Schizosaccharomyces pombe: one gene and its partner. The protein of the gene in region 1 interacts with the protein of each later gene in a biochemical or structural test. Each region holds a gene or a part of one and is shown on either strand. Other genes may lie near its edges.

Region 1 (15,321 bases):
CCACAATTGTTTACTCAATTTAGCAGTATGTCGAATCCTCCCACTGATGAATGGGGCTTTTGTGAGGTTCTTGGTGCAGATGAAGCTGCCTCTCAATTAGCTGCTCATTATAGCTCATTCTACACTGAATCTGATTTCGCTACTATAGCTTCTTGGGGTGTTAATGTTTTGCGTATTCCTATTGGGTATTGGGCCTTTAATGTGGTAGACGGCGAACCATATGTTCAAGGGCAAGAGTACTGGCTCGATCAAGCTCTTACTTGGGCTGAACAATATGGCCTTAAGGTTTGGATTGACTTGCATGGTGTTCCAGGCAGCCAAAATGGATTTGAAAACTCTGGTAAGACTGGTTCCATTGGATGGCAGCAAAATGACACTGTAACTCGTACTCTTGACATTATTACCTATGTTGCTAATAAGTATACCCAATCTCAATATGCCAGCGTGGTTATTGGAATTGAGACGGTAAATGAGCCTTTGGGCTATGGTCTGGATATGGATCAACTTAAGCAATACGATTTAGATGCCTATAATATCGTCAATCCTCTTTCCAGCTCTGTTGCTACTATCATTCACGATGCCTATGTTGATCTTTCTATTTGGGATTATGGTGTTGTATCTCCTTCTTCATACAATCTTGTTATGGATGTCCATCGTTATCAACTTTACGAGTCGGATGAGTGCTCAAAGACTCTCGATGATCATCTTTCAGATGTTTGCTCCATTGGTGATTCCATTGCTTCCTCTCCCTACATTACTGTTACTGGCGAATGGTCCGGAACTTTAGCAGACTGCACGATTTTCGAAGAAGGAGTTGACTCTTCGACATTTATTGGACCAAACAGCGGTGATATTTCCACTTGGACGGATGAATATAAGGGAGCTGTTCGTCTGTTTATCGAAACTCAGTTAGATCAATTTGAACGCGGTGCTGGTTGGATTTACTGGACTGCTAAAACTGGTGGACCAAGTCCTACTTGGGATATGGGATTACTTATTGAATACGGCGTATTCCCTCAACCTTTCACTGATAGACAATATAGCTCTTACTGCGGTTAAGCAAAGCCATATCAAAGTTAAAAAAAAATTTTATCTATTCTAGCTGTATAACACTAATTTATATCTCACACATCGTTGTCATGTCCTGTCCTTGCATTTATCATCTACTATCATTTAACGTGCTGCTATCTACTATCCATTCAGTCTTTGTTTGTTTGGCATTATCTTTAGACATTAGTTTTTAATATATATTGTTGTTTTCGAAATCTTTTAGTTATGTGATATTAATATTTTGGTAGCAAGTTCCTACTAAATTAATATTTAGCTTAATAGTTTACGTTCAATATTGCATATTTTTTCGAACTCTATATTAACAGTAGCTGTACTTTGGAGAAAGTTGACCGAGAAATCTTTTTAAAGTTGTCCAATTGAATTTTCAATTATCAAGTATCTTCAGTTTACTTATATGAAATGTATTTTCTGCTCTACTCTTATAAGTCAGTATTGAGCCACATAGACGGACCACTTTGAGTTAGTCTCGGAAAAGCAAATCGACAGAATAGGTTTTCACTCAGCCACAGGTGACATATGTTTAAAATACTTTTATAAAAATTACATTTAAATTGAGCGATTTCTTGGTAAAGTAATATTACACATTTTCTGATCTGATATAGGCTTTATACGCATTAAACGAAATAAGCTCATTAAGCATTCTTTAACGAACTCGCTTTTTTAATTTAATGAGATATCTAATTCACTAGTATGTATTCATTATGTTGTCCCTAACAAGATCAAAATTGTTACACTGTAAATGTAACGTAGTTTGTCGACTAATTTATACGAATAATAGCTTTCTTCTTGCCCAAATTAGTGAAATTTGTTAGACAATTTAAACAATTAAAATCATATACAGAATTAAATTGACTAATTCTATTTAATCGAGAGTAACTTAAGTATTGTTCGTCGAGCGTATATACCAGCTGCTACTTATTGCCCTTGTGGAGGAGGACATTACTGTAATTTACCGTGTTTTAGCACATTAAACCTTTTAAGGATGTCTGTTTAACTAACGGTTACGGATGTTTAAGGAGTAAAAAGTCGAGTCTGCAAAATAACTGTAACCTGACCTACTAGATGATCGAGCAATTGTTGAGTAGTTAGTATATAGTAATCACATATGCTCCCCAATGGAATATCAAAGAGCCATTGATTCTATTGAAGAATGTCTCAATAAACAGTTAAGACTGTCATCCGAAAAGGTTGACCAATATGTACTAATAGAAAACTGGACCTCATTAGTAGGCCACTTGAAAACCTTACACTCTTTAATATCAAATTACACAAATGGTAGAGAATTACAAAATGAAATTAGTTCTTTGCTGAAGCAGGATAAGGAACTGGATTTACAAATTCAAGACTGCATGAGAGAAATGACCTCAATTTATGATACCCATCTTCCAAAAACAGTGTCGGGGAGAAAACGACAAAAAGTTAATGCTGAAACACTCCTTGATTATGGTAGAAAACTTTCCAAGTTTTCCTCTGCACCTCCTGGGTACAATCCCGAGACGGGTCAAGATGCAAAAGCTCCTGTGCATTATCCTTGGCCATCGGAGGACCAGATGCGAAAAACTCTGTTGTTTCAGTTTTCAACTAGCATGGTTCCAAATTTATCGGCTACAGCGTCCCAATTATTTTCTGAACAGCCTCCAAAGACGAACGAGCCAACGGAAACAGAAACAGAAATTGATGCGAACAAAGCCGTTGAAGAAAAAACTAAAATGAATTATCCTGCCTCTCCAACATTCACTACGCAAGAGGAAAATAAAGAAGTAGAATCGCCAGCTAATAAGGATGTCTTTGCAGGATTTGATCTTTTTGATCCAGAAATGGAAGAAGATTTTTGATTCTAAATTGTGTTATTTGTCAAGTGATATCTGGTATTTTACTTTTCTAATTATAGAGTTTTTTGCTTTGACCAAATACCCTTTTGTTTTAAAAATGAATAAAATTACGCTTTGCCGTTTAGACTGTATTTATTTAGCTTTCAGACTTCGCAAAGCAAGATGATTGAACACTGTTCCTTGCTTAACATTTGTCAATTCAAATTTAATTAATTTTAAGTATAATTTTCGAACAATCTACGTTTTCTGAGTTCATTTAATTATGCGTTAGCATGAAAAAATTCCTTTTCTGCGTGATCATTCCTTGCTATGGGCATAAGGCTCTCTATTACAGAAAAACCGAACGATGGGTCTTTTTTAAGGACTAAAGTTGATGATGCATGAATGATATAACCTTTAATATATCCTTGGTCAATTAGAGAAACACAGATACATTCGACATCGTCCATGTCATATGAGTTATCATTTGTACTTAAACGGGCCGCGGTTAACAAGTAAGAACCAGATACGTGCGGGGTTTTTTGGCTTTGCTCAAAAGTAAAAAGAAACCTTTTTAAATTAGTCGAATATTTTAAAAAATCTCAAACGTACACCTTTCTAAATAAATTCCTCCACAGGATGATTTCACATCTATCCAATAAAGTTAGATATATTCCTCGTTTGATAAACCATTTCCTCCTGGAATTGTCCTCCAAAGATAATCTGAACGACTTGATATCACCACTTTTCAAAGCTTTTATTAAAGGTTCGAATGCTGCAGTCAATTTGTATTTTTCTAATAGCCCTTTTGTTGGCGATTTTCCTAATATAAGTAAACACGTTGTAAGATAGATTAGAGAAAGCCTTTTTTGATTAGTAAATATAAACGAATCCTATTTTTGAGTAAAATAAAACATACCTTTTTTGATGATAACACTCATCAGGGCACTGAAGAAACGAAAAAAGTAGATGGTCCTTTGCCTGATGAATTTTGCGTTGATAAAGATGACACCTTCCTAAATAATAACGAAACGTTACTAATTCCGCCATTGTAGCGCGAGAAATATCGGCACCCGAAGAGATGACATTAGCTTGAATAGTTTGGCAAAGACGAATTTGCTTTAAGCGAAAATATAGTAAACAAAGTAAATTGGCAATACAGAATATCGCATCCTTCTTCGAAGGGTTAATGTTTTGTTGACGATCACTCAGTATACTATTGAACGTTCGTAAGACGTTCCTAGATGCATCGCTCACGTATTTCCTCTGTATGAACCCATTACCATCAAAAGAATCTTCTAAAGTAGGTGTAGATGTATCTAGCTGAAGGGAGAGCTTTACATAAAGCTTTGAAACGCGTTTTACAATTGTACACAACCATGCTCCATCGATATGGGAGAAGCAAGTTGTCAAGTTACTAGAAAAACAAAAGTGAGAAATAATAAACAAAAAGTTTTTAATTACCTATACAAGTTTTGTAACAATTCCCATTTTCGTTGATCAGGAGAAGATGCAGCATTTTCAACGTACTCAAAATAGGTAGTTACCAATTCCTTCCAACCTCTTATTCTTCCAAATTCTTTTTGAATGGTTCCGTTTAACTTATTTTTCCCCTTTCTATCCTTTATCACGGTTAGTTAATGTTATAACCTGAAGACAATTACTTGTAGTGCAAGCCTGCGACATACCAAAAAAAGAGTTTTACTGAGCTGTTGAAACGAGGGCTCTGATGGATCTAAAATAATACATTTCTCCAACGTATTGGAGTTTTTCTCTCCAACAGCGTTACTCAAAGTTTGCAGAAAGTCATTTAAGGACATTCCAACCTGTTCCTTCGCAACTTTTAGTACTAAACTTTCAATTATTATGTAACGATAAATAAGTTATAACAAGAAAACTCAACAGATATGTTTTCGCTTACATCGATGTTCTCCAACTCTCACGTTCTGAACCTCATATACGAATAACGAAAGTTAGCAGGTCGTAAACCGGTATACGAGGATTGTTAATAGCACAATAAAGAGACATACTAAGAGTACAGCAGCATTCCTCAAATTAAATGCTACCAGCATCAATCCCCAAAACCGTAGCACTTTATATTGATTTAGTCTTAATCATCTCGGTTTGAAAAGATTCTGTTTCGAGTCTTTGCCAAGAATTAGGGAAATAGTAAAATATGCTTTTACCTAGTATTCCCTCGTGTTCATTTAGCTTTGTTGTTTTCGTTTCCGTTCTTCTCCAAACCTGTTTTAGTTTTCAATTAACTCCCTTAAGTCCGAAAAACTATCCTCCCGGTGCTTCAATTGATACAACTGTCAATACCATTTCACCATTTATTGGAGATGGACGGGGTTCTGACATCTTTAATTATGAATGTACGTGGTTGATAGCTCACATGAAGGTTCATGTGTTTTTTTAAAAACTTTACAATTTTAAATTAGGAAAACACTATAGAAATATGATTTAATGAAGGATATAACATTTTCTCTCGAACTTTTTTGCTTGTTACTAACTTCACTTTAGACTACGATGAGCGTTTCCACTTCTGTCGACCAGAGAATATCGCAAAACAATCTGAGTCACTTGGAAGTGTGCTTTTTGGCGACCGTCTCTACAACTCTCCCATTGAAATAAAAATGCTTGAAAACCAGGATTGTGTTCCCTTGTGTGCCTCGATAATTCCCAGTTCAGATGTCAGTTTTATTAGAGATTTAATCTCCAAAAACTACGTTGTTAACTGGAACATAGATAATCTGCCCGTAGCAACATATTTAGAAGGGACTAACTCAAAGAACTACTCATTATCGCCAGGCTTTCCATTAGGCAAGAATACGGAGAAGGGAGTAATTCTATTCAATCATTATGATATAGTTATAGAATATCATACGACATCTAGTGACCAACACCGTGTTGTGGGTGCTTATGTAAAACCTGTCTCAAAGGAGTCTACTTTAGTTGATGGAAACCCAGTTTGTTCTTCGTCTTCAAATCCACAGTATTTACCGGAAGGAGCTGATCTTACTCTCGTGACCTCTTACTCAGTCTCTTGGAAATATTCCGATACTCCATGGGCTACCCGATGGGACAAATATATGCACATTGAATCTAGGCAAATTCGATGGATCTTTATTATCCATTCCGCAATTATTGACACATTTCTAATTTTTGTGGTTTCTATTATTTTGTACAGAACGCTAAATCGTGACATTAATAAATATAATAGCGCCTTTGTCGATCAAGAAGATGTTCAAGAAGATTTTGGTTGGAAGCTAGTTCATGGTGATGTATTTCGTCCACCTCGTAGACCCATGCTATTTTCTATCCTTTTAGGGACTGGTGCACAACTTCTTTTTATGAGCTCTGGTATCGTTTTATTTGCAATTTTTGGCATTGTTGCACCCTCTCGTCGTGGAAGTTTAGCTACAGCAACGGTGGCCTTATTCATTATATCAGGTTTCGTTTCTGGTTATGTATCTGCATTATCCTACAAACTGATGCAAGGTATGCTTAGAAAGCGAAATCTTCTGTTAACTCCTTTTGTCGTACCTGGTTTTATGCTTGCGGCAGCTCTTTTCTTTAACATGGTATTTTGGAGTAAAAGTTCATCATCAACTGTACCCTTTTCAAGCTGGCTTCTACTCATTTTCCTGTATCTATTGTTTACTGTACCATTAAGCTTTGTCGGTTCTTTAATCGGCTTTCGTTCTCGAGAGTTCGTCCCACCTGTTAGGACAAACCAAATCCCTCGTCAAATTCCATCTCATAGTATTTGGCTTTCGAGTTTTCCTAGTGCGATTATCGGTGGATCTATACCATTCCTCGTAATCCTTATTGAATTGTTTTCTATCCTTGACAGTTTATGGTTTCACCCATTGTATTTCATGTTCGGTTTCTCGTTCTTTTGCTTCGGTATTTTAGTAACCACTTGTATCATGGTTTCCATTATCACTGTTTATTTCCAATTGTGTTCCGAAAACTACAACTGGTGGTGGCGCTCTTTCATAACACCTGGATTTTGTGGAATCTATGTATTTATATTTTCAGTATTTTACTGGTTTTTTAAAATCTCATCATCTTCCCTTGCTACTGCCGTTCTTTATTTCGGCTATAGTTTACTGATTTCTGTTTTGGTATTTTTCTTATGTGGATCGGTTGGTTTCTTTGGCGCCTTTCTCTTTGTTAACAAAATTTATGCGTCCATTAAAATTGATTGATTATTCGAGGCATTTGTACATACCTCTTTATTTATTGTTCAATTTGAGCTTTCTCCGTTACAAACCTTATTAATCAACAAAATGACTTGGAGAACACTCTCTTTTATATTCAAATAATTTCATAGGAATATGCCGTTTTTTTTCGGTCATCCAATATATAACTACAGTTTGTTTTACTTTGTGTAATAAAACCTTAGGTACTATATCATAGAAGAAATTTGAAAATTGTAATCTTAACCAAAATGTTTACTTAGAGTAAATTAAATTTATGTTTTCTACGTTAAAAGCTTTATTATATGTTACATAAATAATACAAAAAAGGAATATTACTCTAACTATATTTACGAAGCTCGCCCAAACCTTTTTCAACTACCAGTATTTCGCCTTCAGCTCAACCCTACTTTAAAAATTGTCTTTATATTACTTTTTCTCAGTTTACCAAATATTTAGAACGTAATTATTAAAATATCGGAAGTATGCCTTCTTCTGCTAGTGAACAACTTCTTCGAAAACAACTAAAGGTAAGCGCACGAAATCTTCATATCCAAATATTCATGATTGTACATAGTATCTTAATTCTTGAACACATACTGATAGATATAGGAAATTCAAAAAAATCCTCCACAGGGTTTTAGCGTTGGTTTAGTCGATGATAAATCCATTTTTGAATGGGAAGTTATGATCATTGGACCAGAAGATACATTATATGAAGGTGGTTTTTTCCATGCAACATTATCGTTTCCTCAAGTATGTATTTATGTTTCACAGAAAAATAATATTTGTTGTATAAGGTAAACAAGCTGGTCACTAACCTCGAAAAATTAGGATTATCCTCTGATGCCTCCAAAGATGAAGGTATAGTAAATACATTGATTTTTTAATTGATAGAAACTACATAGTCTATGCCTAAAAACGATTCTAACGGTAACAGTTCACAACGGAAATTTGGCACCCTAATGTTCATCCGAATGGCGAAGTTTGCATATCGATTCTTCACCCACCAGGAGATGACAAGTATGGATACGAGGATGCTGGAGAACGTTGGCTTCCGGTACACTCTCCGGAAACCATATTGATTAGTGTAATTTCCATGCTTTCTTCCCCTAATGATGAGTCCCCTGCCAATATAGATGCTGCCAAGGAATTTCGAGAAAATCGTGAGTATATACTAACCTACAAACAAAAAAATTTACTCTTTAATAATCAAATCGTACTAACTTTTTCCAGCACAAGAATTTAAGAAAAGAGTTCGTCGACTTGTTCGCAGGTCAATTGAAATGATTTGAAGATAATGTTCAACCTAGGTCCCTAATTTCCTATATTTAGAAAAAAGGCTATGAAGGAAATTCAAGTCGCTGCATAGAAAACCTCCTAAGTCAACTAGCAGTAAAGCTTACTCAAAAAGTCTGTAGCTTTACAAGTTGAATTGCATATTTTATGCCATCTTTGAAGTATTGCCGTTGCCCATTTTTTGAATAAGTTTAGCAAACTGTTCATTTATTATCACATATAATGAAATATTGGCAGAACGGTTGACATTTTAAAACTAACAGCTTTTGATTCTTTTCTGTTTTTATTATAAAGCTTTCAAGTTTTTCAAGTGTTACAACCGCAAGTGATTTATCCTACTTCTTTACCAATTACAGCCATAATTTAGATAAACAACAAATAAAAATCTACATTTCACGATTGAATTTTTTTCTTTGAACAAACGTCAGCTAATACTTCGTGAATTGATAGTTTTCCATTGAAAATTTTCTATTCAAGTAATTATTTTCGCTTATACGCTCATACTTTATCAGCGACGGTTTCAATTCCGCGTTTTGCACAACATACATTGAATGCAGCGATAAATCTCAGTCTATTATATTTTACACTAACTAGCTCAATGTCTCCTACGTATCCGAATGACTGATTCAATGATTAATCAAACCAATTAAAGAATCTAGCGAAACTTCGTTGAGTTTGAAAATTAAATACTCAGAGTAACCATTTAAGATGAATATTAAAATTGCATTAAGAACCGTGAAAGCATTGCCTTTTCATTTAGCGTTTTTTTATTGCATTATGCTTAAACTTTTCAGAATGACAATTAATATTACGCTATTCCGCAGTATGGTGGTGTTCACACTGGTTCAAATGCGTATATGGAACGTAGACAGCTATTAGGTCAAATCAGATATTAATAGCTTTTATCATTGTCATTTCTCCCTTAACTATTTGCAAGTCGAAAAAAATCCAATTTTAGCTCATGCACAGCGTTCTGCAGTAAACATGCCTCTGGCATTCACAAATCCCGGTACACCTCTAAAACGTACAGCTGCCTACGACAATGTACAATGGAACCAAAATCGAATATTAGTAAGTGAATGGACGCAAACGATATGCGTTTGTCTGCTAGTGGTTAAACTGCAGAACGAAAGCAGCATGTCAAAGTATTGTTTCCAATTGAAGTAATTGTTTAACTAAATGGTAGACATTTGGAACTCGCTATACCGTATTAATTATTGTAAATAACTACGAATCTTATCAAAATATACAATTTGGAGAGTCTATTGGTGCAGTGGCTTTGGACCAACGTACGGGGTTTCTAGCAATAGCACATGGACAAGTTTTGGATATTTATAAGCCCGCCGATTCTTTGAAATGGACTCATCATTACAATTATATAACTCAGCTTTCTGAAGATATTACTCAACTATCTTGGGGATACAATTTTGATCTGTTGCTTTGTGCTTCGTCATACACTAAACTTATAAATTTCTCTGAAGACAAACCCAGGTTGGTTTGGTCGCAGAACAGAATCTCGGATTCATTCCTTAGTAGCACTATTTCTTCCGATGCTTGTTTTATAGCTTCTATCGAAACAAAAAATCCACTTGCTAAAGTTTGGCAGCGAACATCTCCTCAAGGTACAGTTAGCTCATGTGATGATTTCAGCTATCTTGTTCATCCTTGTCGCGTAAGGTTTTCCCAATGGTCTAAACACCTTCATCCGGACGCCAGTGGATCGACTCCCTTCCTGAGTACGGTAGGCTATGATAACGTTCTAAGAATTTGGCAAGTTGGTAGCCGATTTGGTTCTCAATTAATGCATCTTTCTTGTTTTCTTAACTTGAGAAAATACTACAAATCTGATCAACCACCATACTGCTGTTTTATTGATAAGGACGATTTTACTATAGCATTAGCACATGCTATAAGTCGCCATTCTGGTCAAGTGCATAAGGATCGCATTTTAAATAGGCTTCTGGCTTTGGCCAGTGGACAACCACATATATTTTTGCTATTTACTTTTGAATGTTTGTACATATTTTCTCTAGTAATTGACCAGGAAACTTTGTCATCTTTTGAGCTTATTAATCAAGTTCCAACGAACTTTCCCAAAGGCGCTCTTCAACCTGACGGATTTATACCTATTTACAGGACCTCAAAACACGAATTTTACGATTATAACATCATTTTATTTTTTCAAAATTCCGCCCGTGAATACATGTTTAGTCTTACCGATTTCTTTTATAGTGACTTTGAGTTAAGAGTTAGTTACGATTTTTATGGACATGATTATCCCATAAAAAGCTTAACAAGAACCTCTAATGGTCATGGAATTGTATCCCGAGATGTTAATCGTATCTGTATGTTTCAATCATACATATCGCAAGACGGGAAAAATCAGTTAATTTGCAGGTTCAGATTATTACTTGGAGAATCTGACTTTATATTACCTCTTTATGCTGGTGAATATGCAGCAGTACTCAACTTAAATTCTTTAAAATTATGGCATTGCAATGAAGCAATTCCTCCAACCCTTCTCTGTACATGTCGTCAAGTCCCTACTAGTCCGATAATAACCTTCTTTATTCTTCCTGTTCAAAACAACGATAATTCCGCCCTATGTGCTTTGACGGAAGGAGGCCATGCCTGGTTTTGGAGTGTCTCTAACGAAGCTCATGATGGTTCTGCTGTACTTCGGTTTATAGATCGGGTAAATTTTACAAAGAATTTAAATATCGCATCGGCTGTAGATGTCATGGGTTGGTCTTCTACTTTAAATTTGAGCAGTTTATCTTCATTTGATCAAGAGGTATTTCAATCAATATCAAAAGACGGTTTATTACAGACTTGGATGGCAAGAGTATTGGGAGACGATAAAGCGGAAATATCGGAAATTTCCAAAGTGCAAACTAGCATCAAATCTGCAACTATGATCAAAGGCTCAACATCCAAGAAAGTTGCTGTTGTATCTGAGAACAATCGTCGACTTTCAATTTTCGACACGCGTAGTTCAGAATTCTCTGAAAAGGAAGAATTTTCCTCTGTTTTTGATGATTATGGACCAATAAATGACTTGGATTGGACTTCTACTCCCAATTCCCATTCTATCTTGGCTGTTGGCTTTCTACATGATGTTATTCTTTTGTGCCAAAATCGCCGATCTTATATGAACGATATTCCATGTTGGTCTCGTATTCGTAGATACAATCTTTTAGAATATACAAATTCATTAATATCTGACTCTTCTTGGTTGGATAATGGGACTTTAGTTACTGCCATTGGTAACGGACTTTTTTATTTTGATAATTCACTTCCCGAAGATCAGTCTTTACTGTTCCCTGCATCATTGAAACGTTCCGCAAAAAATATTTTTGATCTTGCATACCAGCTTAATGGAATTTTACCAGTTTTTCATCCTCAATTGTTGCAGCAGCTTTTACTTAGAAACCAACCCTTTCTATTTACTAATATTTTGCTAAGGTTTTACTTGTGTTTGAAAGATGATGTAGATATGCATTTTCTCTTAAATATGGACTGCAGTGAGTTTTACTGCTGTGACGAAGAAATTTCTAAAGACCTTTTAATAAAAAGTCTCAGCCAAAATTCTGCGGAAATTCTAAATCCTGCGGAATTGGATTTTGAAGAGACCAGTGTCTCAAAGCATTTAGGATTATACATTGATGAAATGATAAAGAAGTTGACTGCATTATTAAAAGTAAAGAAAGTCAAAACCCTCACTCGATCATCTCAGTTTTTACTTCTTAATTTAATCGAGGCATTCAATAAGGCAAGAGCATTGCGAGATTCATTGGACCTCAACGGAAAAAGATATTGCATTATGCTAAACCAGTACGTTTTATCAAAACATCAACGTCAATTAACAAGCTTGCCCACCCGAGAGATGGCGTGGGCTTTTCATAGCTCTAACAAAGCTGTTCTGTTGGACCACACTAAAAAGCTTCATGGAAAACCATTGTTATGGAATGCTGTTGAAGAATATGCGATACCGTTTTGGCTAAATGAGCAGCTACTGAAAGATGTATTTTTAGAGCTGTCTCGCAATCATTACGCTGAGATTGACGATAGGAACCCAGAGAATGTTAGTTTATATCACATTGCTCTACACAAAATAAATGTATTTCGTGATCTTTGGCGTCTTGCTAGTTGGCATAAGGAATCAGCTCGAACGGTTAAGTTGCTTTCGAATGACTTTTCAAAAAAGAAGTGGAAAGTGGTTGCATCCAAGAATGCTTTTGCACTTTTAAGCAAGCACAGATATTTTTATGCTTCTGCATTTTTTCTTTTGGCAGATAGTTGCTATGATGCCGCAAAAGTATGTATCCGTAATTTAAAAAGCATTTCATTAGCCATCGCAATGACTCGAGTCTATGAAGGCGACGATGGTCCGACCTTAAAGAGGCTAATAAACGAGTATGTACTTCCTTTGGCTGTATCTCAAAACGATAGATGGCTCACCAATTGGAGTTTCACTATTTTAAAACAGGAAAAAAAGGCCTTGCAAAGTTTGGTATCTCCCATTCGCTCGCTGGTCAGCGATAATGACTTTATACAACTTTATACATCCGATAAAAACGACCAAGAAATTCACGAAAATAAAGATTCACAACGAAATAGTACTAACGAACCCGTACGAAATAAGTTTCCGTCTGATGATCCTGCCTTCATTTTGTTATATGAATGTTTAAGATCCAGCAACGTGCAAATTGATGAAAGTCTTGAATATCGATTTGTTTTGCATAATGCTAATGTGTATTGCCAATTAGGATGTGACCTAATAGCACTTGGGCTTTTGCGTAATTGGAAATTCCAAAAAAATCCTGCAACTGCTCATCTTGAAACTGAGGATTATATGGTAACTGACAAGCAGTCTGCAGTGGAAAAAACTCACGACTCCCCCAAACTTGGAAAAACTCTTATGGGACAAGATATCCGGCCAACACCGGACGATGTCCCCGAATTTAATGAATCTGCGTTCAGCTTCGAGTAATTAATTAATTATCGATACGAGTTTTTAAAAATACTACAAAAAATCAAATACGGTCAACCCTTAGTTTATCGTGTTTCAATAATGATATTAAAAATTAATTTACTATTAAATAGCATATAAGAATACAGATGAAGTTCCTCAGCGTTTCATTTACACAATTGCGCAGGACGTAAAGAGAGAATTAAAAATTTCTATACATTTCGAAAATAAAAACGTCCGCGGTATAACTCGAAAAAAGAAAACAAAAATATAAATAGATAGTGCAGCTCACGGAAACAAAAAATTAGACTTGCATATCGTTTGTTACATTCCACAACACTCAAGGTTAAATTTTGTTTCGAAAGGCAAAGTAAATGAGGGAAGGATTACAATGGGATAGACGACCAAAAGATTCCAAATCACACCATCAGATGGCAACCACAATTTGGTAAAGTTGCTTATGAGCGTTCACCGCGAAGACGACGAGCCAATTGCATATCCTTGGGTTGAATAGTTACACGCTTTCCGTGAATAGCACACAAGTTAGTGTCTTCAAATAGAGAGACAAGATAGGCCTCAACAGCTTCTTGGAGAGCACCAATGGCAGAAGACTGGAAACGCAAGTCAGTCTTGAAATCTTGGGCGATTTCACGGACCAAGCGTTGGAAAGGTAGCTTACGAATCAAAAGTTCAGTAGACTTTTGATAACGACGAATTTCACGAAGAGCGACTGTACCGGGACGATAACGATGAGGCTTCTTAACACCACCAGTAGCGGGAGCAGCCTTACGGGCAGCCTTAGAGGCAAGTTGCTTACGAGGAGCCTTACCACCAGTTGATTTACGTGCAGTTTGCTTAGTACGAGCCATTATTTTCTAGTGTTCTGATAATTGCCCTGTGTAGATAAAAACAAATTATAGGGAGATTACGCTGTATAAATATGTCCCTACATCCAACTTTGATCACAACCCTAACCCTTTAATTAAATTGACGTAAGTTAATAGGGACGGCGCATTAATATATATTGTGAAATGCCGCATACCCTACTAGCAATAGAAGCACTGTTTATAGTAGTAACTCTATTTCGTTAATATTAATAGTGCAATATGTCTGGCCGTGGTAAAGGTGGAAAAGGTTTAGGAAAGGGTGGTGCCAAGCGTCACCGTAAGATCCTTCGTGACAATATTCAAGGTATTACTAAGCCTGCCATTCGTCGTCTTGCTCGTCGTGGTGGTGTTAAGCGTATTTCCGCTTTAGTTTACGAAGAGACTCGTGCTGTCCTCAAGCTCTTCTTGGAAAATGTTATTCGTGATGCTGTCACCTATACTGAGCATGCCAAGCGTAAGACTGTTACATCTTTGGATGTTGTCTACTCTTTGAAGCGTCAAGGCCGTACCATTTATGGTTTCGGTGGTTAAATTCGATATCAATTGCCGACTCCGAATTTTTTGTTTCGAGTCTATCAATTTTATGTGTACACTATAACTATTCTATATATACATGCCAAACGAGAATGTTTTTCATCTGGGCGATATCAGAAGAAGCATTATCAATTTGCTAGTGCAATTCATAGACAAAAAGGCGTTTGGTCTTTGTGAGAAATTTTTCATATCGCGTTGTATCACGGCTGAATACTCCATCTGACAAGAAGATGAATTTTTCTTCGTGGATTTGTGATTAATACATTTATTGAATGAAATGATTAATATAATGTTCATTAAACCCGAATCGTATCGTGATATTTATAAGTAGTACAAATATAGTAAACGCGCAAGTTTTTCTTTAGGTAATTGTTTGTGCGACCTTAAGCAAATTAACCTAGTTGATGCGTTACACTGTTCTTCGTGTCATCTTTCTGGGTATGGGGAAAGTGTGTCTAGTGAATGGGGTTAAAGAAGGTTATCTAAGCGACTAGTTGATAGCAAACAGTTGCATAGCCAGGAAGATTGTGAATTGTACGGTA
Region 2 (16,399 bases), 790 kb from region 1:
CTGTTCAAGTTCAGTTTTAGCCTTCTTGATGGAGTCCAAAAGCTTTCTCTCTTCTTCCCATGCCGCAGATAGTTTATCTTGTTCCTCCTTCAAATCAGTGAGCTTGGACTCCAATTTCTCACGTCGCTCAACCGATGTCGTGTCAGTTTCCTTCCTAAGGGATTCCAATTCAATTTGTATAGTCATGATTTGACGGTCTAAACGCCGCAATTCATCAGGTTTAGACTCTTGTTGTAAGCGAAGAGAGGAGCAGGCTTCATCGACTAAATCAATGGCTTTATCGGGAAGAAATCGATCGGTGATGTATCTAGCGCTGTACGTAGCTGCTGTTACCAAAGCATCGTCAGTGATACGTACACCATGATGAACTTCGTATCGTTCTTTCAGACCACGAAGAATTGAGATGGTGTCAGCTACAGAAGGTTCATTTACCATAACTGCTTGAAATCTTCTTGCCAAAGCAGCGTCTTTCTCGATGTATTTTCTGTATTCCTCCAAGGTTGTCGCACCACAACAGTGCAATTTACCACGGGCTAAAGCAGGTTTTAATAGATTGCTGGCATCAATTGAGCCTTCAGCTTTACCAAAGCCAAGTAAAAGGTGCATTTCATCAACAAACAAAATGACCTTTCCTTCAGCTCCTTCCAGGTCACTCAGTACAGATTTTAAACGTTCCTCAAAATCTCCCCGAAATTTGGCTCCTGAAATGAGAGCGCCTAAATCTAGGACAATAACACGTTTATCCTTCATGGACTCAGGGACCTCTCCACGAATGATTCGCGAGGCTAATCCCTCCATAATTGCTGTTTTACCTACACCAGCCGGACCAACTAACGCAGGATTATTCTTTGTGCGTCGAGAGAGAATTTGGATGGTTCTTTGAATCTCTTCTTCACGCCCAATTACAGGATCCAATTTTCCTTGTTTAGCCAAGGCTGTTAAGTCTGTGCCATATTCTTCCAAAGCGGCTCCTTGTTTGCGTCCGCCGCCTAAATCCATTCGAAAATTTCCTCCATTTGGATTTGCTGCATAAAAGCGTACTTGCTTCCATCCAAACTTTGGAGATCTCTTAGCTATGAGTACAGAAGCATTACTTGGTCTTATAGAAAATGGTGTTTCAGCTAACAGCCGTTTTTCAAAAATGGGTCGAGTACTCAATGCCCGAAGAGAAGTTTTTAAACTTCCTTGGTACCTACGGAGCGATTGTATTCGTATCGGAATACTCTTAGGTAAAATATTCATGGTTTGCGAAATCTTCTCATTTTCTTACCTACTGCTTATATATATATATATGAATCTATAAAGTGTCGGCTAACTAAAGAATTACCTGGAAGGTAGTAGCAAATTCTTATAACGAGCTAACTAAGGTTGGCAAATAACGCGTGCGTTGCTTTTCGTAAAAGAGCTCTTTTAAACTGCAAGCTGCATCAAATTAGTAAGAGCAACTGACAATTTTTCTTACTCAGTAGCCTTATCACCGATATCTATATTGTGGTCAAAGAATCTACAATTCATTAGCATCCATCGTATGATAGCGTTAAATAAAAGAATATGAGGTAAAAGATTATATGTAGCACGAATTGCTCTTGGACGAAGCAACTGAGAAGAACAGAATGAAAGTAAATAAGCGACGTTTATAAGAAATTTCAAAAAGGGCCTTTCTCAACGAAGTATTGTTATCAATTTCTGTTTTTATAATTTTCTATTCTAATAGCTTTCTTAATGTCTACAAGATTAGAATGATTGGCAGATTTGCTGTGTAATTGCTAATTTTAAGAATACGTTTTTGCAAGCTATTAATTAAAAACTATTTGGGATTAATTGAAACAGCGGTATAGACTATTTATAAGTCGTTAGCTGTAACTCTTTTGATAGATTCAAAACGTTTAGCAAATTGTATACTTAAATCATTCATATCCTTACTGGTACATACTGCTACAATTTAAAAATTTGTCAATATAATGTTATTTCAACAAACATTGAGTGTAATACATGAATTCCTGAGCATCGCCCCATATAGCAAGCATTTATAAAATGTTCATCAAACATTACTGAGTAAGGAAGAGATAATAACCATTCAGGGTAAAATCGCAACCAAAACAGTAAATCTAGCAAGAAAAGAAGGTGAATATCCAACTTCCATTAACTATGGAATGCAAAACACTCGTGCATCACCAGCTGACAAGTGCATACGATTTCTCTACTTCATGAGGAGTCAGCCATGGACGCCTAACTTCATGAAGGTCGCTTCGTGGCAAAGCAAGCTGTTCATTTTTCTCTATCAATCAAGAACCATCAAATATGCTGAATCAAAATTCAAGCCGAATCACTAATAAACCCCCAAATAGATACACAAGATCCCATTCCATTTACCAATTCTCAAGCTCGCAGTCCATGAAAGGTATGCGTTACAATAACAATGACTGAACAGAGCACTGTACGTGCATTATAGAAAAGTCAAACCGGTTAATTTTCAAGACACCCTGCATGCAATAAAAACTTATGATACATAGCATGCAAAGTAATTACCAAAGACCAAAGCTCCCAAAGCTTTTATGAGTGGCAAGCGAATGACTAGTGGGAACTACAACTTTGGCAACCCATACCTTTAGGATAGGAACTAGGGAGTTAAAAATGCAACCTTCATCCCTACTTCATGCATAAAGTAATTAGAAGATAGCAACGGGACGGAAATGCAAATGCGAATTCAGTAATGAACATCCGAAACTATCTAAGACACATGATTAAGATATACGCCAAAAAAAATGTTACAGTTCCTTTTCTAGAAGCAGTGAAGTATTCGAACAAATAGTTAATGGAATTCACGGGAAATAGAAAATATAGCTATTAAACATGTGGACGACTGAACTCAGGGAAAAAGTAACAAGTATATAAAATTTACTGATTCTTAAGATTGGTAGAAAGCCATTCAAGACCTTCATAAAGACCGTCGCCGCTAGTGGCACAAGTGGCTTGAATGTACCATTGACGATGACGAAGAGAATGAAGTCCTAGCTTATCAGTGATCTCAGCGGCATTCATAGCATTAGGCAAATCTTGTTTGTTGGCAAAGACCAACAAAAGCGCGTCACGAAGCTCATCTTCATTGAGCATACGTTGTAACTCCTCATGGGCTTCGGAAATACGTTCACGATCATTAGAATCAACAACGAAGATAATACCTTGCGTGTTTTGGAAATAGTGTCTCCACAAGGGACGAATCTTGTCTTGTCCACCAACATCCCATACAGTGAAAGAGATATTGCGATACTCAACAGTTTCAACGTTGAAACCAATGGTAGGAATTGTGGTGACAATTTCGCCAAGCTTGAGCTTATATAAAATCGTAGTTTTACCAGCAGCATCAAGACCAACCATGAGAATACGCATCTACATAAACAAACGATACTATTAATAAAAGTCCTTCTTTTTCAAACTTTTCAAAGGTTTTCACTTACCTCCCTCTTGCCAAAGAGGCTTTGGAACAATTTGCTAATACTCAAACCCATTATGTCTTATATTCTTTCGTACCGAATGTTTTTCTATTTGGTAGTGGTTTTGGTGGAAGAAGAAATTTATCTGGTGGTGTGCGGTGCAGTATGGCTGGAATTACGGTGACCGTTATCACCAGAAATGAACCACCTATGCTTTTCTTTGAAAATATTCGCCTTTCATGTCTGAAATTTTTTATTTATTAAATAAAAATCTCGGATAAAAATTCTCCCTGTAAATTTATGTATTTTTTTTTTACCCATCCTCAGCCCAAACTTCCACCCTGTTACCAGTTTGACTTGTAAATAAAAATTAAGTGAAACTGATTATAGATCTTAACATCTAAAATAGATACTATTTTTTTAAACTACAGTATGTTAAATATCCATAATTCCCTTCTTGCTAAAAATCAAAGAGTCTAAGCATGGATGTCAACCTGTTTTCTTAACTTCGACAACAACTCTCTTATAATGACCGTGACTGAAAAGAACCTTTGAATTTTTTTTAAAATTTTTCACTTTTTTTATTATCTTATATACTATGGGCTATCAATTATCGCGTCAATTATATAGGTAACTCGTTACATTTGTTTTGTAAATCACAGTACCTAAAAGATCATAAACCTTTTAAAAATGAAGGATTAAACACTCTTATGCTGCAGGAACTCAAAATTGAAGGATGAATTAACCGAATGCGAATCAACAAGTTCACTTTCATAGCTTATTTTGAGTAACAAGGTGATTTTGAGGTGTAAGATGAAACCTTCATTTCTAATTCTATGACACTGTGAAAAGTATTCATGAATGTTTTTAATATTTAAAAAAGTGGTCAATTTATAGCTCTTAAACAAGGCAGTAAACTATAAAATAATAATAGAAACATAACCATCAAGAGCATATGAAACCATGCGAGATCAATTGCAAAAATGAAGCTTCTTTTCAAATGTAAAGCTCTTTTTAAGTTAACTTAAAATGAGTACGTGAAACACTAGGGCTTACTGAAATTTTTGGAATTGAACTATACAGCGACTACTTTATTATTGTTGATTAACATTCCTTTGAGGTATTTATATTTGACTTGAAGACCAACTATTAAAGAGTAAGATTTTGATTGAAATAGGACAGGGGAATTTTTCATTTGTTAGGAAACTAATTGATACACCAAATTTTCAAATCTCATATAGGTTTTTTTTATAAAACTAATAAACGAAATAAAGCTTTTTAATTTAATAAAAATATATACAAAAGCGACGATATTGTAGCATCTTCGGTTAACTCAATGCTGTAATCTGATAGTCAGTAATATCTGACATACTATATAGTTCAGCACCACCTCTCTTCAATCAGCAGAATTGCTCAAAAATGGTTTCTTTTGAATCAAGTTTTGAACGAGGTACCGATTTTTTGAATAGAAATTTTAAGAAATGTCTCTTCGCATGCATTTCCATCTTCATTTTTGCGCTTTTAGCATTATCATTCCTATCACTGTTACAACCAGATACAGTGCAAAGGCTTTACCAATGCGCTGTTCCCTCAATGATTTATGTTCCACCGATGATTAATGAAGCAATTTCAATACAACATGAAGAATTCAACAATCGTAGGCGGAGACTTTCGGCTGCACTTCGTGAAGATAAGTTGGATGCTCTAATTATGGAGCCTACAGTTTCAATGGATTATTTTGCAAATATCACTACTGGCTCCTGGGGTCTTTCTGAGCGACCTTTTTTGGGAATAATATTTTCAGACGATGAACCCTATCCAGGAGACGTGGCATCAAGAATATATTTTCTAGTACCTAAGTTTGAGCTACCACGTGCTAAAGAATTGGTTGGCAAAAACATTGATGCGAAATACATCACTTGGGATGAAGACGAAAACCCTTATCAAGTTTTATATGACCGGTTAGGACCTTTGAAGTTAATGATAGATGGTACTGTGCGAAATTTCATTGCACAAGGTTTACAGTATGCTGGATTTACCACATTTGGGGTGTCCCCCCGTGTTGCGAGTTTACGGGAAATAAAAAGTCCAGCTGAGGTAGATATTATGTCAAGGGTCAATATTGCAACTGTGGCAGCTATACGATCTGTCCAACCGTGTATTAAACCTGGTATTACGGAGAAAGAGTTGGCGGAAGTGATTAACATGCTTTTTGTTTACGGTGGATTGCCTGTGCAAGAGTCACCGATAGTTTTGTTCGGTGAAAGAGCAGCAATGCCACATGGAGGTCCATCGAATCGTCGATTGAAAAAAAGCGAATTTGTCTTGATGGATGTTGGTACTACTTTGTTTGGCTATCATAGCGATTGCACCCGAACTGTACTTCCCCATGGCCAAAAGATGACTGAGAGGATGGAGAAGCTTTGGAATTTGGTTTACGATGCCCAGACGGCCGGCATCCAGATGCTTTCCCATTTATCGAACACAAGTTGTGCAGAAGTTGACCTAGCAGCCAGAAAAGTAATTAAAGATGCTGGTTATGGCGAGTATTTTATACACAGATTGGGACACGGGTTAGGATTAGAAGAGCATGAACAAACTTACCTTAATCCTGCCAATAAAGGTACGCCTGTACAAAAGGGAAATGTGTTTACTGTTGAGCCTGGAATTTACATACCTGACGAAATTGGAATTCGTATTGAAGATGCTGTTTTAGCATCTGATGTTCCTATTCTATTAACAAACTTTAGGGCAAAAAGTCCCTACGAGCCTTAATATTTATGTGATTTTTTGTGATTGTAACCTGAATTGGATCAAATAATTTAATTCATACTATTAACATTAGTAGTAATTGAAATAAAATCAACTCATCAACGAAAGAAATTGAACATAAAAAACTATTTTGATTTATCCGCCCTGATATCTTCCTCTAATAAATCTAACTCTTCTTCCAAACGAGGATCTAAAACCGGATAACTAAGGCCTGTAGGATCTAAATCGGGGTTTTCCTGAGATGGTCGCCATAAAGAAGATAATGTAATTAAGTAAGTCAAATGCACACCATCAATCCATCCATCTAAGAAATACCAGCGTATTTTCCAGAGTTTGTTTGTTGAGTTATTATTAGTGTTTGAGCAAAATATCAATGCAACTAGAGAAAATGAGAAAATGGTAACAACACCACACAATACCATTATTCGGAAAATTTTATAGATGCTATGCAACGTATAGTACCGTTGTTCAACCAACGCGCGAAGAGTTGAAGGTAACGCAACAAAGGCACCAAACAAGATATATAGCGCTGAAATACAAGCGGTGAGGAAGAAAAAGCAAAACCAAAGGCCGAGGTGAATAGATTGAATGGTAATTGCAAAGAAGCGAACTACAAAAAGAGCGAAGAAACAAATTATTAAAGGAATTTTTGCTTCAGTAAATAGTCGATCACGCATGTTAGTTGAATAACGGGTATATCCCCAAGAGAGTATTAATAATAACGCAAGGTCCAAGACTAACTGACACGCAAACAAAATTGACACCAGAGTCTCTCCTAACCATGTGAAGTTCCCCCGATTTCTCAAATTTTCTGTATCCAACACAATAGAAGTGACAGCCTGTTGAGCACACGAAAAGATTAGCAAGAACATAATTGCCTTTTGAACGGTAACAATCGAATGTTTATATTGAAATCGGAAAAACATCCAAAGTGCAAGAATTACACTATAAGCGATTGTGATTCCACCAGATATAGGCATTCTAGGGAATTGAGAAGCGGGAAGCCCACCATACGCATTTTGCCAATTGACAAGAGCTTGATAAGGTAACATTTTTTTCGAATGAGACCAAATGCAATAATAACCTGACTGAGAGATTTCATATATAATGTTTTGAGGGTCAGCATTTGTCGGAATTATATAAGAACGAATGGATTTTGCTGACGTTGAGTTCCACAAATATAGTCCCAGTTGATCGGCTTCACATAGGTGATCCGTGTATACCGCATCGTAATCGCAAATGTAAGTGAATTGATCATCAGAACGGAATGCACCTAACTTGCGGATTTCTTTCCAATTGAATATCAAAACCTCAACTTCATCTTCTTGACCCCATGGTTCAGTCCAATTCACTAACGTCGTAAGTTTTTTAAATAAAAGCGTAAAAAAAGATATGTACATACCATAAATTGCTGGATTTAAAGACCCTCCAGATTCCGATTTCGAGTAAATGCCATTGCACAATTCATAATGCTTGAAATTCTAGCAAGAAGCCGCAGTTAGCAAATGATACGCAAGAAATCTGATTGTTTTACCAGTAATGTTTTTTCTGAATAAACTATGGAAAAGAATATACTCCATAGAAGAGATATCAGTAATTTCATGGTTTATGATGAGAGCATTAGATTTTTTATACTTCGAAGGACTGGGAACAAAAATTAAATACCAATGTTATGTAAATCAATGTACAAAATATTTTTTCCCAAAACCGATTCACGGATTATCTGCCAAAGTTGAGATTCAGAAGTTGGTGGAGGTTATTGACTACTTAATAAATAGTAATTTATTTATAGTTAGGCGATTAGCAAGGTTCAAAAAATAGCTGAGAAAGGTGTTGATTCGAGCCTGGACATCAACATTTTAATTAATTTTTTCTTTCTATAAACAATTTTGCTTGACTTGCTGAATTTCGCTAAGGATCAACATCATTGACTACTGGTGAATTCTTTCTTTGTTATCGGCCCAGAAATTACCAACCGTAAAATGTATTTTCCGCAATTAAAGAAAATTGTGAGGATTTATCCTTCTATTCGGTTTCATTTAATAAATTGAGAGCATTGATGAATAAATAGACTAGGTGTAGAAAAAAATTTAGTTGACGAAGCCGAATTTAATACCGCATGTTGTCTGGTCTAAACTTCTATTTTTGGTGAAACCGGTTTCCATTAAAATATCAACAAAAGTGATATTGCTAAACGTGGCATTTATAGTGTCTAAAGAAAGTATAATAAAAACCAACCAAGAGGTCGTTGATGAGAAATAATTATATAAATAATTAGTTAAATCATGAGAATAAGAATGATACATCAATTAATAAAAAATTACAATTTACAAAATAAAGTAGAGGATTTTTTCAACACAAAAAGTAATAGAGTCTTTTTGAGTTAATTATTTATTCAATGAAACTTACTTTTACATAAGAAATTATGGGAATTCTTTCAATTTGCAGATGGTTAAAGTATTTCTGTAACGACAGCATGCTTCGGAGAGAAATAATTATATAGGTTAAGGAATGTATTTTATTTTAAAAGATTGGATTTATTTTAATGTTCGTTGCTCATTCATAAACTAGTTCTGGTATTTTTACTACTCTTAAATTTGCACATACCCAACCAACAAGCAATTCTTCTAATGCAATTTGTTCTTTCTTTTCAGTCAAGCACCCAGTCAGCAAATTCTTAGTTATATGAGTGCTCAACATTTACATAGCTGCAAATTTTATAGACTGCCACTTGAAATTATCCCATTGATCTGCAGGTTTCTTTCTGTTCAGGATATCCAAAGTTTCATACGTGTATTCCCATCCTTTCAAACTATTTTAGACTCTTCTAATGACCTTTTTTGGAAAAAGAAAAATTATGAGTTACGAATTCGTCGAAATCGATTGCTTCGTGGTTCTTATGCTGCTGGTGTTTCGAGCTCAGCGATGAATGGATTTGTCAATGGCACCCAAATTTCATCCACACCAGCTGAGAGAGAATACTATAGTAAATCAGATGAAATAAAAAATATTTGTGGGCTTCCCCCGGGTCCTATGAAAGTGGAACAAATTGGACATGCTATTGACCATCTTGTCAGTGAGACTCATACAGTTGATCATCTTGGAAGTTCTATTAAAGCATCTTTTTTTCACATAGATGATGTTCCTTTAGAATGGATAAGCTCAATATGCATGCAGGTTCAAAGCTTTTTCTCCCCTGCAGCTCGAGAAGCTATATCTTCTCTAAAAAGTAGGACTACTACTAGCAATCTGCTTTTAAGTTTGTTCGTAGGGATACTATTTGAAGATGATTTGTGGTATTTTTTCAATACGCTTTATATGCTATCTTCAACGTCCGCTATAGAATTTGCTTATTTTCTGGACTCTATCTTTACTGTAGTCCGCACAGATTATGAACATTATCGTGACCCACTTTCACAAACACTAATTACTTCGTGTACTAGGATTCACAACATTGTAGCTGTCATTGAATCCCCTTATGATGAACCTAACACTAAGGGCCTTACCTCTGAACAAAAAATGATTGTTGAATGTCAATTAAACCCAGGAGAGGTTCTAAAAGTTAAAGCATTCGCTGGTACTGGCAAAACCAAAGCATTATTGGAATTTGCCAAGTCTCGTCCAAAAGATAAAATTTTATATGTTGCTTTTAACAAGGCCGCAAAAGAAGACGCAGAATTACGATTTCCATTTAATGTCAAATGCTCCACCATGCATGGTCTTGCTTATGGTGCTATACTTGCACAGGCCGATTTGCCGCAAGCTAAACTTGAGCGGCAATTATCAAATTCTACTATAGCTTCACTTTTGTCTTTGCAAGTTGCATTTCCAAAGGCAAATCGGAAAAATAATCCGGGTACACCATCCGCTAGCTTGGTAGCTTCTCATATCATGTTTACATTAAATAGGTTCATGCACTCCACTGACTGGCAGCTTGGTTTTCGTCATATAAGTAAAAGAAGCCTGGAAGTTACAAAACTCTCTAAAGAGAAGCTTTTGGCTTATACAAAAAAATTGTGGTCTCTTATTGTAAACTTTGAATATACCCATGCTCCTCTCATACCTGATGCATATATGAAATTATTACATTTGTATGAATTCCCTAATATTTTTTCAAAATATGACTACATTCTTTTTGACGAGGCTCAAGATTTTACTCCGTGTATGGTCGACCTTATTTATCGTCAGAAACACGCCCGAATTGTCATCGTTGGGGATGCACACCAATGCATTTATGGTTTTCGTGGTGCAAATGCATGTGCTTTCAATGAAAATTTGTACCCTTCCACAAAGCAACTGTGCCTTACTAAGAGTTTCCGGTTTGGAAACTCTGTTGCAAAATATGCAAATTTTTTGCTTTCATTAAAGGGAGAGAACGTTAAGCTTAAAGGGGTACAAAATGACCATGCGTATTGGTCTTCAGCAAGTAATCCCAACAATGTTAGTGGAGCGTTTCGATTTTTTCCTCATACGATTATTTTTCGCACTAATAAAGGTTTGCAATGGTTTATATTGATAAAAGCTAACGTATACAGAATTAATCCTACAATCGATTCGGCTATCAGTGTCATTACCTAAGGAGATACCCATTGCTATTCTTGGCTCAATGAGGAAAAAAGCATTCCAACTTTTGCGAAGTGGTTCAGAACTAGCGCATGGGCAGCGCCCTTCGCACCCAAAGTTAAAAGACTTTTCCTCTTGGGGAGAATTTGAAGTGCACGTAAAAAACTCAGCCGAAGAAGATGCCGAATTGGCTTTAGTATATGATATGGCCGACGAATTATTTAGTGAAAGCTTTCTGAGCCGATTGGACAATTGTGAAAAAAGATTGATGGACTCTAAAGACGATGGTGACAACGGTATTATTTTGGCAACAGCACATCAATCTAAGGGTCTTGAATGGGATAATGTTCAATTGGGTAATGATTTTCGACCAAAATTTGATAGTGTTTCTTTTTCACGAATTGGATCTTCGAGGTACTTGCAAGAGGAAATCAATATCCTTTATGTTGCTCTTACGCGAGCTAAAAAACGCCTTATCCTTAATGACACTATAACCAAATTATACGCATTAGAGTGCGGACTTGTTCGTTTTGCTGGTGGCATTTTAACGGAAGATCAGCTGCAACCTGGAAAAGTTGCTCTTTTTGTCGACTGGCAGATTGACAAGTTTAGCTTTTTTTATGAAACCCCTGCTGAAGGATACAATCTTTTGGTCGAAGCAAATGAGAAATCAGTATGGGATATATTTTTTGGAGTTCTTTCAGGCGCTTGGCAGAACTATATTGCGAATACATCTGAACGGCTTAAAAGATCGATGCTATTTATTGAAAATCAATTGTTTGCTGTACATGATCAGTAGAAACTATTTGATTTGTTTCTTTTAAAATCTATTTTAGCCATATTGATTGATGTACTATTGCTATTACAACCTTTAATATATAATCATTTAATAATATGTATATTCGTGTGGACATTTTCATTATAGAGCTATGTTACTATTTCGCTTATAAACGTAAACTCATATCAATCTGTCGCTGCACTTTCCATGTTAGAGTTAAAAGTAGTTGTAGTATTACACACAGAAAGCCATGGAAATAACCCTTCGTGTAAATAAACAGAAGATCAAGTTATATTTGTGCTTTAAAAGATTCCTATTAAGTGAGTCGATGACCCAATTAAGTGTTTATACCTAAAACATACATAAAGATGATTTCAAAAACTAGCAAGCAAGAAATTACTTCCCATCATCTGAATTCCCACGCAACGCTAAATAAACAAAAAACAAACTTTTGATACTCTCGTTAAGTGGCTTTGCTAACAATATAACGCAGTTATAAACAGTTTGTATTAGAATTAAGGTACCGAAGGTCGTTTGCCTTTATTAGCGTGTCAGCATACTACACTACGTTGCGTGTCACTATATGTCATATGTTGGAATACTAGTTAAGATCCGTTTGTTGATAATCACGGGTGACTACCCGTCTATATGAATAGATTCCTTTTGTTGACAAGTGTCTATAAATATTATAAATAGAGCTCCAACTGAACTGAGGAACGAGGTTCAATTATAAGCTATATTTGTGATAGGTAACATTGAAACCTAGATAATACAATACCTATACTCAGATTGCCTGCGTATTGCAATATGATAGGTCACAAGAAAAACTTACGGCACTTCTACATATCGTTGAAAACGATACCAAACTGTGTAGTTAACATTTAAAAATTAACTTACTTCGCTAACTTGATTACGACTGAGAAGAATTTGCTTCACTAAACGGCAGCAGTTTGCAAACCTGCGAAACTAGTTTTTGCCCTGTACCAAATCCTTTTGGTTACGAGAACAGCCATGGGAAAGATTCGGGTTAGGAATAACAATGCAGCTTCTGATGCAGAAGTGAGGAATACAGTTTTCAAATTCAACAAAGATTTTGGCCAGCATATCCTTAAAAACCCACTGGTTGCTCAGGGAATTGTGGATAAGGTAGGTAAAATTGCGATAATTTTTCAACGAGGTTTATTTTCTAACATAAGACAAATAGGCTGATTTGAAGCAATCCGATACTGTTTTGGAAGTAGGACCAGGTACTGGTAACTTGACAGTAAGGATGCTTGAGAAGGCGCGTAAAGTAATTGCTGTTGAAATGGACCCCCGAATGGCTGCAGAAATCACCAAGCGTGTGCAAGGGACACCAAAGGAAAAGAAATTGCAGGTGGTACTTGGTGATGTGATTAAGACCGACCTTCCTTACTTTGATGTATGCGTGTCTAATACGCCTTATCAAATTTCCTCACCATTGGTATTTAAATTATTACAGCAGAGACCGGCTCCTCGTGCGGCAATTCTTATGTTCCAGAGAGAATTTGCTTTACGCTTGGTTGCAAGGCCTGGTGACCCTTTGTACTGTCGATTATCCGCCAATGTGCAAATGTGGGCTCACGTCAAGCATATCATGAAAGTTGGAAAGAATAACTTTCGACCACCACCTTTGGTTGAATCAAGTGTTGTTCGGATAGAACCAAAAAATCCACCCCCTCCATTGGCTTTTGAGGAATGGGATGGTCTGTTACGGATTGTGTTTTTAAGGAAAAATAAAACCATTGGTGCTTGCTTTAAAACCTCTTCAATTATCGAAATGGTCGAAAATAACTATCGCACGTGGTGTTCGCAAAACGAACGCATGGTTGAGGAAGACTTTGATGTAAAATCTTTGATTGACGGAGTTTTACAACAATGCAATCTTCAAGATGCCCGAGCTTCTAAGTGTGGACAAACAGAGTTTTTGTCTCTGTTGCACGCCTTCCATCAGGTTGGCGTTCATTTTGCTTAATGGGGTCAGGATGGGGTTTTCCATTGAAACGTTAAATATTGGATCATTTATGGGTTTTTGGGATAATAACTTTATGGAATGTTAGGTAAAAACAGAAAATATAAAAAAATTAAAATAGAAATAGGGACGTTTGTAACAGCAGTAAGAGTTTATATATAATCAGTTGGTTGAAATGATGGTAACATTAAGAATACAATCAATGCTTATACTAATTTAAAAAGTAAAAAATAAAAGATAAAATAAATCTATACATAAAATAGTGGAAGAAGAGTTGTAAGAAATAAGGAAATTCGTTGGAAAACAGATATAGTTGTAATAATTGAATAACAGCAGTATTTACTATCTAAACGCAAAGTAATGTAGGAACCATATAGGTACTGAATGAGAAGGTCAGTGCCTAAAGTTGGAATAATAATAATAATATCAATTCAGAAAAAAGCTTTTATCAAATTATAAAAAAATAATAATAAATAAAATAAAAATGACTTAAGTGGTAGTGTTAGTGTTAGTTTAATCCCATTTTTCGATTTAACAAAAATAACAGATATGCCCTAGTTTCACATACATTTCTCCTAATCTAATAACCTGTCACATTAAATTTCGTTCATTTCCCGACCGTACTCTTCCCTAAAGGCCTCTTCAGGGAAAAAAGCAATTGCATTCGCAACATTAGCGTAATCCAAATAAAATCATTAAATGAAGTAAAACAAAAAAAATTCTCAAGCTATTCAAGGGAACAAATGCCCTACCATTAATACTGAATTGACGATGCACATTTGTTTATATTTATTATAATTAAGGATAAATAATAGACTTGCGGGAGCAAACATATATAAAGACGGGTAAAGAAAAAAAAAATTTAAATAAATAAAATAAAGCAAATAAAATTAAATTAAATAAAATAAAATAAAATAAGAAAATAAAATAAATAAAAATTGAAATGCCGTAAAATAAAATGGAAAATAAGTTAAGTAAACGTTTAAAAGAAAAGGTAAAATGTTCAAAATCAAATTAAATAGATAACAAAGTGAAGAAAATGTTTACAAGAATCAATGAAATTTATTTAAAAAATATTGTCAAAATTATTGCTAAATATATGATCAAATTCATTACCAAAATAACATTACCCATCGAACACCCCTAACAACTTCCCAAATTACATTCATCAAATGAATGGTATACTCCGTCGCTCTTTCTAATTCATTCGGCCATTCTAAATCCATGATCAAAAGTTTAGTGCCGTCTGCTCCAATATCGACCATTTTGAGATTCGCTTAGCAAAATGCGACACTTCTTCGGGCCCTATCCATTTTCCCGCTGATAGACATAGGAGTTTTGCAGCTTTGTCCAATTCTCTTCCAAAGGGAATTTCAAATTGTTAACCTAGTAAATGTAGTGGTGAAAGTGGTATACTGAATGTGCCTTCACAATCCATATAAATCGTCAACCTGAAGCCTGTGTTTTCCTCCATACAAAGGTTTACACTTGCTGGGAACCTAGGCGGCAAAAAGCGTGATGCCATATGTTTGGCCTTCAAGCATTCTGTTCGTCTGTGCATTTCACGTTTCAATAAAAAACATATAGCGGCCGGATGTTATTGGCATTTTCAAAAATTGACAAATTGTTATCTCGAAAAAAATTTCCCATCTCAAAAGTGACAAAGAGCTTGTTCGCTTGTACACTAATCGCAAAGTCACAAAAGTGGTAGAGCCGGTGGTAGAGTATTCACAACCACTACCTACTACAACAAGGGGGCTGTTGAAATAGTAAAAGTTGGTTGGAATTGAAAAAAAAGCAATTGAAAACACTTTTCCTTAACTTATTTCCATTTAAAAATTATATTTATACGGAGCCTAGCTTGCTCTGAGTTGGACTTCGTGTGGCATCGTAGTTCTGTTGCGTATGCTTCTTCCCTGTACTCATTAGTTTGGTGTATTTTTTTTCCCTTTTCTCTTTTTAGTTTCGTTTTTTGCTTCATTTTTTTTTTAAAATCTTTTTGTTTCTTATATACTCATAAAAAACCCTTTTTTTTTGGTGTTTTGGTGCGTGGGGTCTTTTTGGTTTTATACTGCTACTATTTAACTTGTTTTTCTTTTTAAAATTGAGGATATGCCTCGCAGAAACATTAAAATTCCCTGACTCACTCGCCGTTGTCTACCCTAAAGTGACTTTAAATTAAGCAAACATATATACTTTGTTTATATCAAAGTCTCGAGGTAAAATAAATAGATAGATAATATAGACCGTCAATGCTACAATGAGAAGACCAAATTTGGATCGTTTACGCCTCAAATCAAGGCAGGGTTTTGAGACTTCTGTTTCCAAACCCAGTACTCCTAGTTATTCTACGTATTCTCTTTCTCCCACATTTTCAGACAAGAGTGTTCTTTCTCCCTCCACTATGTCTGATTCCTACGCTCTTTCCTCTACTTACACAGCCGGTTCCTCTTATCAGAATGGCGAGTCCGATTATTTTGGTTCTTTACCCACTCCTTCCTCTGATAAATCATCGACTTCTCCCTTTCCATATTTGAAGGGCTCCTTCGATGATCGTTTCTCTTCAACCCATTCCCTTACACGACAACCTTCACCTCGTTCACCGTTAACTCCTTTAAAAGGAAATACCCGAGCTTCTCCAGAAATTCGCTATGTAAGCGATTTCACTCCTCCCTCATCTCCCTTTGAAGACATGCAAGCGTCTGTTCATTCTTTGCCCTTGTCTGGATGTTCGATTGGTCCTGTGCGTACTAACCATTCTTCATCTTTGTCAAATTCATCTAACTCATTACTACAAACCGAGTCCTCCTTGCGACCCAATTCTTCTTTCGTAAATAGTCCTTTTTTCCCCCTTCCTTCTTC

What was found.
Region 2: the proteins of ubc15 (region 1) and fbh1 form a complex in vitro, tested with the Schizosaccharomyces pombe proteins (one study listed by BioGRID).

The regions. Positions count from the first base shown.
Region 1 is NC_003423.3:3,515,303-3,530,623, forward strand, and holds ubc15 (ubiquitin-conjugating enzyme Ubc15), read left to right. Parts: upstream 1-7,467; 5' UTR 7,468-7,572; coding exon 7,573-7,617; exon of another isoform or gene 7,618-7,699; coding exon 7,700-7,843; exon of another isoform or gene 7,844-7,846; intron 7,847-7,921; coding exon 7,922-7,951; intron 7,952-7,968; exon of another isoform or gene 7,969-8,027; coding exon 8,028-8,253; exon of another isoform or gene 8,254-8,323; coding exon 8,324-8,382; 3' UTR 8,383-8,843; downstream 8,844-15,321. Other genes in the region: cell wall glucan 1,6-beta-glucosidase Exg1, read left to right, coding at 1-1,059; pmc4 (mediator complex subunit Med4), read left to right, coding at 2,187-2,906; TREX/TREX2 complex subunit Pci2, read right to left, coding at 3,164-3,452, 3,495-3,746, 3,802-4,299, 4,347-4,504, 4,571-4,702; EMP70 family endosomal transport protein Emp70, read left to right, coding at 5,059-5,257, 5,406-7,096; RAVE complex subunit Rav1, read left to right, coding at 9,371-9,457, 9,573-13,379; hht3 (histone H3 h3.3), read right to left, coding at 13,817-14,227; hhf3 (histone H4 h4.3), read left to right, coding at 14,465-14,776. UniProt on the Schizosaccharomyces pombe protein: Catalyzes the covalent attachment of ubiquitin to other proteins. Has a role in the formation of chromatin structures that influence the localization of transcriptional silencing factors.
Region 2 is NC_003423.3:2,724,405-2,740,803, forward strand, and holds fbh1 (DNA helicase I, ubiquitin ligase F-box adaptor Fbh1), read left to right. Parts: upstream 1-8,805; 5' UTR 8,806-8,891; coding exon 8,892-10,701; exon of another isoform or gene 10,702-10,741; coding exon 10,742-11,568; 3' UTR 11,569-11,680; downstream 11,681-16,399. Other genes in the region: protein Hsp78, read right to left, coding at 1-1,242; ADP-ribosylation factor-like protein Arf1, read right to left, coding at 2,899-3,390, 3,459-3,509; xpa1 (X-Pro dipeptidase), read left to right, coding at 4,854-6,209; SPOM_SPBC18A7.02C (seven transmembrane receptor-like protein), read right to left, coding at 6,332-7,557, 7,609-7,687, 7,741-7,809; SPOM_SPBC336.16 (uncharacterized protein), read right to left, coding at 8,297-8,512; cdh1 (SSU rRNA dimethylase), read left to right, coding at 12,559-12,693, 12,752-13,540; Ras guanine nucleotide exchange factor efc25, read left to right, coding at 15,798-16,399. UniProt on the Schizosaccharomyces pombe protein: Involved in ATP-dependent DNA-unwinding in a 3' to 5' direction, and ATP-ase activities stimulated by the single-stranded DNA-binding protein ssb1.